Callithrix jacchus: one gene and its partner. Each later gene encodes a partner of the first gene's protein in a complex. Links are inferred from orthologs where the notes say so. Each region holds a gene or a part of one and is shown on either strand. Other genes may lie near its edges. The genes, in order: ACTR3 and ARPC5.

Region 1 (4,390 bases):
CCAGCTGGCCAGACTCCTTCCCTGCCTTCCACCTTCCTTCCATTCTCCCACTCCTCGCCCTCATTTCTCAGAGTCCTCAGTTCTCTTCTTTCTATTGCACTTAACACAATTTGTCTGTTTCCCGCTAATCTGTAAACTCTACAAAAGACCTTAACTATTTTCCATCCCAGGGAATATTCAGAGTCAGCAGAGTCCCTGCCATAATAGAGTAGGTAAGCAATACTTACCTGTCAAATGAATAAATGAAACACCCAATTCCATTTCCCAGGCCAGCTTAATACCACACTACACGATTTTATGGACTGAATAATATATCCCTCCTTCTAAAAAATATTTTTATTTTAGCTTCACATTAGTAAACTCAGAATGGTTTATCATAAGAAAATCTTGGTGGAGAGGAATGATATTAACCTTCTAGGTTTCTAAAGTGGAACTAGGAACTTATTAGAAATGTGAATTTCTAATTGCTGGGGTGTGGCCCAGCAATCTGTTTTAACAAACCTTTGAGGTGATTCTGATACACACTAAAGTTTGAAAGGTTTCTTTAAGGCTTTCCAGTTTTCTTTTTTTTTTTTTTTTTGGAGTGATGGTTGTGGGGGGTCCTCCCTATGTTGCCCAGGCTGGTCTCGAACTCCTAGCCTTAAGCTCTCCTATTCTTCCACTTTGGCCTTCTAAAGGATTGAAATTACAGGCATGACCCACTGTGGCCGGCCTCCGTTTTTAACTTAAAACTTTTTTTGGGGGGGGGAGTGCCCTTAATCCTTTCTATTATACTGCTAGTAGACTCTTACTACTCCTGAGGGGAATCGTTGTCATAATCTAAAAGCCTTGAATAAAGACCTATTTGGATGGCGTATACTATGTAGAATACATTCCTGGGAGGTTTGCCTTCCTTAGGGACCCAGGTCAGCCCTGGGAGGTGGAGGTTGGGGAGCAGGGCTACATTCTAAAGTCCTGTAACAATGCACAAGTACAACTGAATAAAACCCGCAACAAAGGCCTAAGGACCACGGTGACAAGTCTTTGTTCATCCATTCCCCGACTGCTCACCCTGATACCGCTCTTTTCCACCCAGAAAAGCAGCCACTCAAGTTTTAAGAATGGATGCATGCCGCAGACGTTTTCGATTAGACCGCTTTCTCCCAGGACCTGTAGGATATTCGCGGCTGCAGGAGGCGCTTCCACTCTTTCCCCAATCTAGCAAAGAAGCAACTGAAACTAACCCAAGGGCTGCAACCGAAAAGCCCCTTCCAGCTTCAGAAGCAGAACTAGAAGCTCGGCTAGACTTCGCCTCTATCCTCCTGGAAAACTCGCAGTGGATTTCACTAACTTCGGGATCGGAGCCCGGGCAGGCGAACGTACCTTATTGCGCATGCTCGCTGGCCCCTCCCGCTCGGAGCGGAAGGGGGAGCTCTCCGGGCCTGAGCCTGGCCGGGCCCGGGCGTCGGCACCGGCGGCCATCTTGGCTTCCCGGGGAAAGGCGGCGTGAGGGGAAGAAGTTGTAGGGTGGGGGCAGGAGTGAGGAGGAGGGAAGAGAGAGGGGGAGGAGGCCGCGGCGGGGCAGGGCGGGGACTGCCTGCCTGCCCGGGTTGCGGAAGTGATAGCCGCTGACCGAGCCTGCTGCTTTCTTGCTACTGCTTCGGCTTCCCGGCTACCCCCCGGACGGTGAGGGCGGCCCGGCTGTGGATGGTCAGATAGCGCCTGTCTCCCGCCGCCAATCTCTGGCCCCTAACAGCACGGAGCAGACGGCGGCAGCAGCAGCAGCAGGCTAGGAGGAAGATGGCGGGACGGCTGCCGGCCTGTGTAGTGGACTGTGGCACGGGGTAAGGGGGCTGACGGGCGGGGGTGGGGAAACTGAGGCGGAGGAAGGAAAATGGCGGGGGAGGGAGGAGACCGGGAAATGAATGGTGCGGCAAGGTGCCGCCGCCGGCTGTCAGTCCTAGCCCCGGCGGCTAGCAAGGGGTGGGGCCCGGAGCCAGGGCCTCGCCGGTCCCCTAGTTTCTCCCTCCTAGGACTGGGGCGGGGGCGCAGGCCCGAGATTCAACCTCCAACCCTCCCAGCGGCTTCCTCCGCGCGACCCCCCCCGGCCCTTCCCCCACTGCGGTGGGCTGTGCCGCCCAAAGAGTGCTGGGGACGGTCGCTTTGGGGGTGGTCCCCGGGCCCAACCCATCCGGCTTTCCTTTCCTTCCGCGCCCCTTTTCCCCGTGGGTTTGGGGGCCCAGGGGCCGTGCTCGGGGACTGGCCTGGCAGAGGAGCTAGAAAAGAGAAGCGCTCCTGGTAGGTTTTGCAAGATCGCTGTGACAACACTCTGCCCAGGGTGTGGGTGGGGAAGGGGAAGAATCGGACTCTGAAAATGGGAACCTACAGCGGGGCTTTCATTTGACCACCCACCTTCTCTTTTCGACTCCCGGTCATTTCCATCTCCCTCTGCATTTTAACCGGTGAACCAAGTCACATTTTAATTCGAGAGAGAAAAATGTCATGTGTTACTTCTGTAGCCTCAAAAAAGTCCCCCAGTGAGCAAGCGCGCTGCAACTTCCTTAGTTTTGTCAAAGCCGCTTCCTGCTTTCAGTCTTTTATACCCTTATAAGGTAGTTTTTCGTTTCCAACCTGAACACAACTTATTAGTACTTTTAAAATTAAGCAGGTTTTAAAGAGACGGAATTAACGGTGCTTGGTATTCATTCATGTAACTTAAAAAAATGTACTTGTGTTTCATGGAGAGGGGAGAAAGGAAACACCCTGGAAAATAATTTAAGTTGCATACGTTCCTTCTCTGATGGTATCTTGAAGGAAGGAGGAAGGAAGGTATAGAGGTATATAGGAATGTGTTTAAGTTGCACATAGTTACTCTTAGATCTGTAGAGCTGTTTGCTAAAATATAGAATGGCTTTAAAGTGGTCATTCATTTTGTATTAATAGACATTTTAGAGAGTTGTACCACACTTTGTATAACTACATAGAGAATAGGCTACTTTTATTTTAATGTAGAATCACTGCTTCACGATGACATATAGGAAACTGTTTTCTTTTTTCTGTGATTACATCGCTCTAATTCCCAAACACTCCCAGTTTTATTTTTGAGGGGGAAGGCGTGAGAGGTGGACTGCAAGGCTTTTAAAAAAATTATTGTTAATCATAATTATTAATAATATTCATTATTGTTCCTTAAAAGATTGTATGTCTTTCACTCTTTATTCCATGTAAAATTTCTTTAATCTTCATTCTCATAACTAGCTAGTGTGGCAGTTTCTAAAATCACAGTCAGGTAGAGAAACAACCAACTTAATATTCTCCCCAGGAAAACACTAGCCTAGATGAGCTTTGGAACATCTATGTATTTTTTTGATGAACACTTGATTAGTTTCTTCTTAATCCAGTCTCATTTCTCTGAACCAATAATATTTTTTCTTTCTCCCTTCTTCGTTTAATTGGTGAGTAGTTTTATGTCTAGGTTCAGTTTTAAAATTAGATTTGACCTGAGTCAGTAGGACTTTTCCAATATGTTTTGTTGAAGTGACAATATGGCTACATAATTAATGTTTTAGAAATTACTGAGTTGTCAATAAAAATAGTGTAAATAATTGTGGCCCTAAGAAAGACTATGGTAACATCTCAAGTAGTATGTTACTTTTATTCTTTCCATTTTTTCCCTTTTGAAATAGTTTCAAATTAGTATACTAGATGTCTCATTGAGGTTAACTGTCCTTAAGTGACCTCCTTTCCTAAAGGGCAACCTTGAATTTAAAACATGCTGAATGACCAGTAGGATCAGGGAGAGGGGTTCAGTTTAATCTAGGATATGTCTGTTTTAAAATTTTGATTTTTACAGTAGTATATTTTTACATTATTACATTGGTTTCCCCGACAAGGAGAGGTTGCTAACTGCATTCATGATTTTAATGGAACTGATTAGGAGTCCCTTTGCCAGCTCACTCTCTTTTACAATTTGTCACTACCTGAAAATCTTCCTTTAGAGTTTCAGTTATTTTGGTCCTCAAAAGGCTTTTTGGTCTCTTAAGTTGCCAGTGGTTCTTCCAGGAAAGTTACACCTTCAACTTTATTAACACATGGATAAGTCCTTGAGGTTGGGCCCCTGAGATAAGCATCTCTAAGTATGGCCTTAATAGGGAATTTTTACATTTCAAAATTCTGTGGTCCCCGAATGCAAATTGTGCACCTATAATTTGTCTATTTCTTTATGCTTTAGAGAATGCATTCAGCTCTTAAGTCTCTAGATTACAATTGCCCACTTAGTTTAAGCAAAAAATTATAACCTGAATCAGGTCGTTCATTTTATTCATTATATAAATTAGGGAAAAGGTGGCTGATAAAAAAAATGGTCATCTGTAAAACTTGATTGTCTTAGATAAGAAGGCTGTTAAGAGTT
Region 2 (4,550 bases), on another chromosome or scaffold:
TTTGTCTAAATTCAGCATGAGTGGTCTTCTCTAAAAACACACACAGATGATTTCACTATCATTTGAACTTACTGTGTCTTACCACGCAGCATTATTGTAACTCTACATTACAGGGCTACTTTTTCATGTGAAATTCTTGCCTATCAAACTACATTAGAAGCTATTCTATGTCAAAGATAGAAAAAGGTAAAAAATACTGTTGTTGTTTTTTGCAACTGCAGAAGAGTTTGCTAAGAATAAGATATCTCAGAGGTCACTGTGTTGTGTCTGCCACTCACCTTCACCGCCTGACTCTTGGTGTTGATAGGGGGGTTCTTCAGCGCTGCCTGTAGGGCAGCTGTCATGTTTCCTGTGGTGGAGGTTAAGGGTATAGCAACAAAAGGATGGCCCCCAGGAAAGCATTATAACCACCGGTTCTTAAGACTTTATATATAAAAAGAAAATTACTTTGGTTACCATGTTCAATACCAGATATTCAATGTGTTGGTTTCTAGGATGTTAATCAAGGGCAAAATATCAAAAGCAAAACAGAACATTAGAATTTCTTTTTAATAAAGCAAAGACTGGCTCGCCCCTGGTTCTAACTATCAAATGAATACCTTGATAATCTTTCATTTCCCAGTTAGACACATATGCAAACATTACCTGGAGAAACCCTAAGAAGAAACCCTAAGATATGTATCAGAATTATTAGTCCCCCAAATGAAATAACCGATTATCAACTAAAATATGTTTTTTCATGTGATTCTAGTTGAAAAAGTAAAGACCAAACTTTTACTAGAACTATATTCTATATTAACTAAAATGCTGGTAGAAAATGCTGGCAGATTAGCCATCTGAATGATAGACATTAGCAATCTCTCAATATTGATGAAAAGAGGCATCATAGAAGATGTAATAATTCATATGACCCTTAGGTGGCAGCCTAAGTTTTTGCTTTAGATACTTTCTCTCATATTTTACAAAGGTTATTCAAACTGTGTTAGACCATACCTATTAAATTCAGACTCTTTTTGAAAGCACTAGTGAGTTAGCAAGCATGAGAAACGGAAGGCCAATCAGACTGTCAGAATGTTCAGCCATTCCCCTAAAAGGAAAACCACAGAGTTCACTCGTTCCTCCATCTCCAGCACCCCACCACTAGGGCTGTCTTTCCTGGCTGTATGTAAGAGTAAGAAGAGACAGTATCTTTATATTTTAAGATGAACTGATGAAAAAGCAGATCCACTGATAGGGATACAGCAGTAACATTTAAGAGTCACCACAAATTACCTAAAATACATTGGGGTTTCATAAAACATCATCCATCTCAAATAATGTTTTTACAAAGAATGTTCACCCTTTATCTTCTGAAGAAAAAGGTCTCACACACACAAAATCTCTGGTTGATAAGCTGCAGGGATTTCTAGAGAAGCATGCCTTACGTAGACTGGCTCATTTCTTTATGACCCCCAAGCACTGAAGTATTTAAATAATGCAAAAGAGCAACAGCTAACTGTGAAAGTTGTGGCAATCAAAGCAATACCTATACATTGATAAATGTTTAATGCTGTATTTAGGTGCCTTTATAAAAGAATACAGTTGCCATTAAACATTTTCACTCACACATCTCCCCAATATAATTTAACAGGACATTGTTGAGGAGAGTCTTCCTTATGAATACACTCAAGAGAAGTGCATGCAAACCCAGTAACCGAGATTCTCTAAAACGACAGCCTCGGATTTTTGCAGCATTTACATCGCTCTAAAAAAGATCCGATGCATACGCGAATCAAAATTGATGAATATTCAAATATGCAAAAACCAGAAACCAGGAACTGACAGCCATATTTTAACTAACATGGAATCAATTTTAGGATTACAAAAATGATTCTGCTTTATACAAATGACTCATCTTCTTATTCATTGGGGTTTATTTTAAATATTTCCAAGGATTCTCCACATGCGTTCCCCGTCTTTTTTTCATTATCCTTTTCTTAGCAGGTAAAAGGCTCCAAGTTTTGTATTTTTTGTATTCATTCTCCTCCCCCGATTAACAAATTCTGTGCAATGTATACTTTGCCAAATCCCCCCCCCCTTTTTTTTTAAAGCCAATGGGCTGAAAGCACAGGAGGCCTCAATTTTCGAACCTTTCCATCTCCCCGCTCCCCCTCAGTAAGGAATAAACTACCTTAATGCTACCAATAAGAAAAACACAACAAAAAACAAAGCCACTATGGAAAGACGTCGGGTCCCCACCATCGGAGATTTCTGGAGAGAATGTGACCCCAGAAAATAGAGTTCTAGGAAGAAAAACTTAAGCGCTCGGCACCAGCCTTGCCCACCAGCCCGGGCCGCCTTCCCCTGCTCCGCGAGGGCGCGGCCGGCGGGACCCGTAGCCGAGGCAGGCACTCGGGCGCAACCTGAGGAATCGGGGGGCGTGGAAGGCGCGCGGGGGAGGGCAGGCTTCCAAGAGTGGGACCCTCGCGTCTCCCGGCTACTGGGGAGGAAACGGAAGCTCCCCATGCCCTCGCAGAGCGGGAGACCCCAAAGAGATAGGTTTCGTCGCGGGTTGAGAGTGCAGTTCCGCGCCGGTGCCCCGCGGATCCTGCAGGCGCCCGGGTCCCCGAAGAAGAGCTGGCTGGGCTGGGGTGGGGAGGGCGGCAAATGCAAGGATATTGCCGCAGGCAGGAGTCCACCTCGCCCTCGTCGGGCCCGGCCTGGCCGTCGCCCCCATCTTCTTCGTCCACGAACTTGTTCTCGTCATATTCATCCACGTCCACCTTCCGGAACCGGGCCGACGACACTGTGTTCTTCGACATCCCAATCCCGACCAGCGGCAAAAGCCTCTTGTTGCTGCCTCTACCTCAGCAAGCCCAGCCCAGCAGCCCACTGCCCGACGCCTGATTCACTTCCCTCTTCCGTTCTGGGGCGTCGCCGGCAGCCGTGACTCGGACGGTTCTGGGCCTGCGCGCCGGCCTCGCTTCTTCCTCCTCAGGTTCACGCTCTCCTGGCGCCTCCCACGCCGCCCCCGCTCTTCCACGGGGAGCGCGCGCGAGGGAGGGAGCGCGCAGGCCCGGGCTCAGGACACAGCGCGCAGGCCCGGGCTCTCCGCAGGAAAGGGGCGGGGCGGGGCGAAGGAGGCGGGGGCGAGAGGGAGGGCAGAAAGACGGACGGCGGGCAGAGGTAAGAGGCGATTGGTCGTCCGAGTGCGTCACGTGATTCCCAGGGGTTCCCATAGAAACGCTTTTCTCCGGTCCAGTCTGAGGGGTCTGAGGTTGGCGGCGATGGGCAGCAGCGGCGGGTGGCCTTGGCTTTTGCTGCAGCCATCAACGACCTGTCATCGGGGTCCTGCGTAAGGTCCGGCTGGCTGGGACTTGGCTGTGGGTGGGATGGACTGGCTGCCGGACCGAGTCCCCTGCAGTTGGCAGGAGTATGAGGCGGAGTGATGCACACCCGGGCGCCCAGCATCGTTCTAATTGCCGAAGACGTTGCCTCGGACTGTGCGCTGCCAGGGGCTGCGTTCCTGAGCAGGAAGCCCGTTTCCTGGGGTTGGAACTACCCTACTTGTCCAGCGGGAGGTCCCCAAGGACGGAGTCGAAAGGTCAAATCTTATCTGTCAGTGCTGTGTGACAGCATCGCGACGGGATCTGCAGAACCTGAACTCGGTATCATATCCATTCAGAGGGAGGGGAAGGTGTCCTGGCAGGCGCTGGGGTCGGGTTCTACAAAACTGGGGTGAATTTGTAGAATTTGGGAAAGGGTCATTGGCATCTTAAAATAGGTGGTTGTTTGGAGCAAGAATGCTCGAAGAGGGTGAGGGTAAGTTAGGCTCTCTAGTGCTGGGGAAAAATGTGTAGGATTAGTGGAAAACAGACCTTTGAGATTTATATTATGATTTAAGATTGATATGATTCCATCTAGGCCAGATTTTTAAAAAATTATTTGACATCCCCATTTCTGGAATGTAGGAGATAAAGGTACTACTAAGACGAAGGAAATGGTAGTTGTGCTGTGTGTATTACACTGAAGAACAAATATTTGCAGGATAAAATTAATTTGGACATTGGCTGGACACTGCTCAGGTGTGGGTCCAGTTTAGTTGGACCTTGAGCAGAAGACTGGCTGTTGCCCTGTTGTGTACCTCAATCTTTGGTTTCCTGTGCTGTGTCGAACACTGGGCTTAGAATCAGAAAACTCAGGCTGAAGTCTTGACTCTTCCACTCATAATATTTGAATGAGGCATGTCACTTAAAATTCTGTCTCAGATTCCTCATCACTGAAATGGAGCTAATAATGTGTACTTCACAAGATCGTTCTTAGGATTAAATATCATGGAAGGGTTTCCAAGCTCTAAAATTCTACATAAATGTCAAAGGCATGTTACTTGTACCATTGGTTTTGGCAGTAGTCTTATAAATTGCTCAATGATATGTGGTGCTTTATCTTCTAGAAAGATTCTGAAGGGCAGAGACAGTTTTTCTTTTGTATTTTCCTTCTATCTGACATAAAGCTAAGCATGCAGAAGGGACTCAATACATGCTTGATGAATGAATGAAATGTGAAAGACT

What was found.
Region 2: ACTR3 (region 1) and ARPC5 share a complex: the UniProt entries of both Homo sapiens proteins name them as parts of the arp2/3 complex. The link is inferred for Callithrix jacchus from reciprocal best matches to the Homo sapiens genes ACTR3 and ARPC5.

What each region holds. Positions count from the first base shown.
Region 1 is NC_133507.1:98,527,278-98,531,667, forward strand, and holds the start of ACTR3 (actin-related protein 3), read left to right. Parts: upstream 1-1,569; 5' UTR 1,570-1,779; coding exon 1,780-1,823; intron 1,824-2,110; exon of another isoform or gene 2,111-2,277; intron 2,278-4,390. UniProt on the Homo sapiens protein: ATP-binding component of the Arp2/3 complex, a multiprotein complex that mediates actin polymerization upon stimulation by nucleation-promoting factor (NPF).
Region 2 is NC_133519.1:41,806,199-41,810,748, forward strand, and holds the start of ARPC5 (actin-related protein 2/3 complex subunit 5), read right to left. Parts: upstream 2,897-4,550; 5' UTR 2,802-2,896; coding exon 2,658-2,801; intron 351-2,657; coding exon 279-350; intron 1-278. UniProt on the Homo sapiens protein: Component of the Arp2/3 complex, a multiprotein complex that mediates actin polymerization upon stimulation by nucleation-promoting factor (NPF).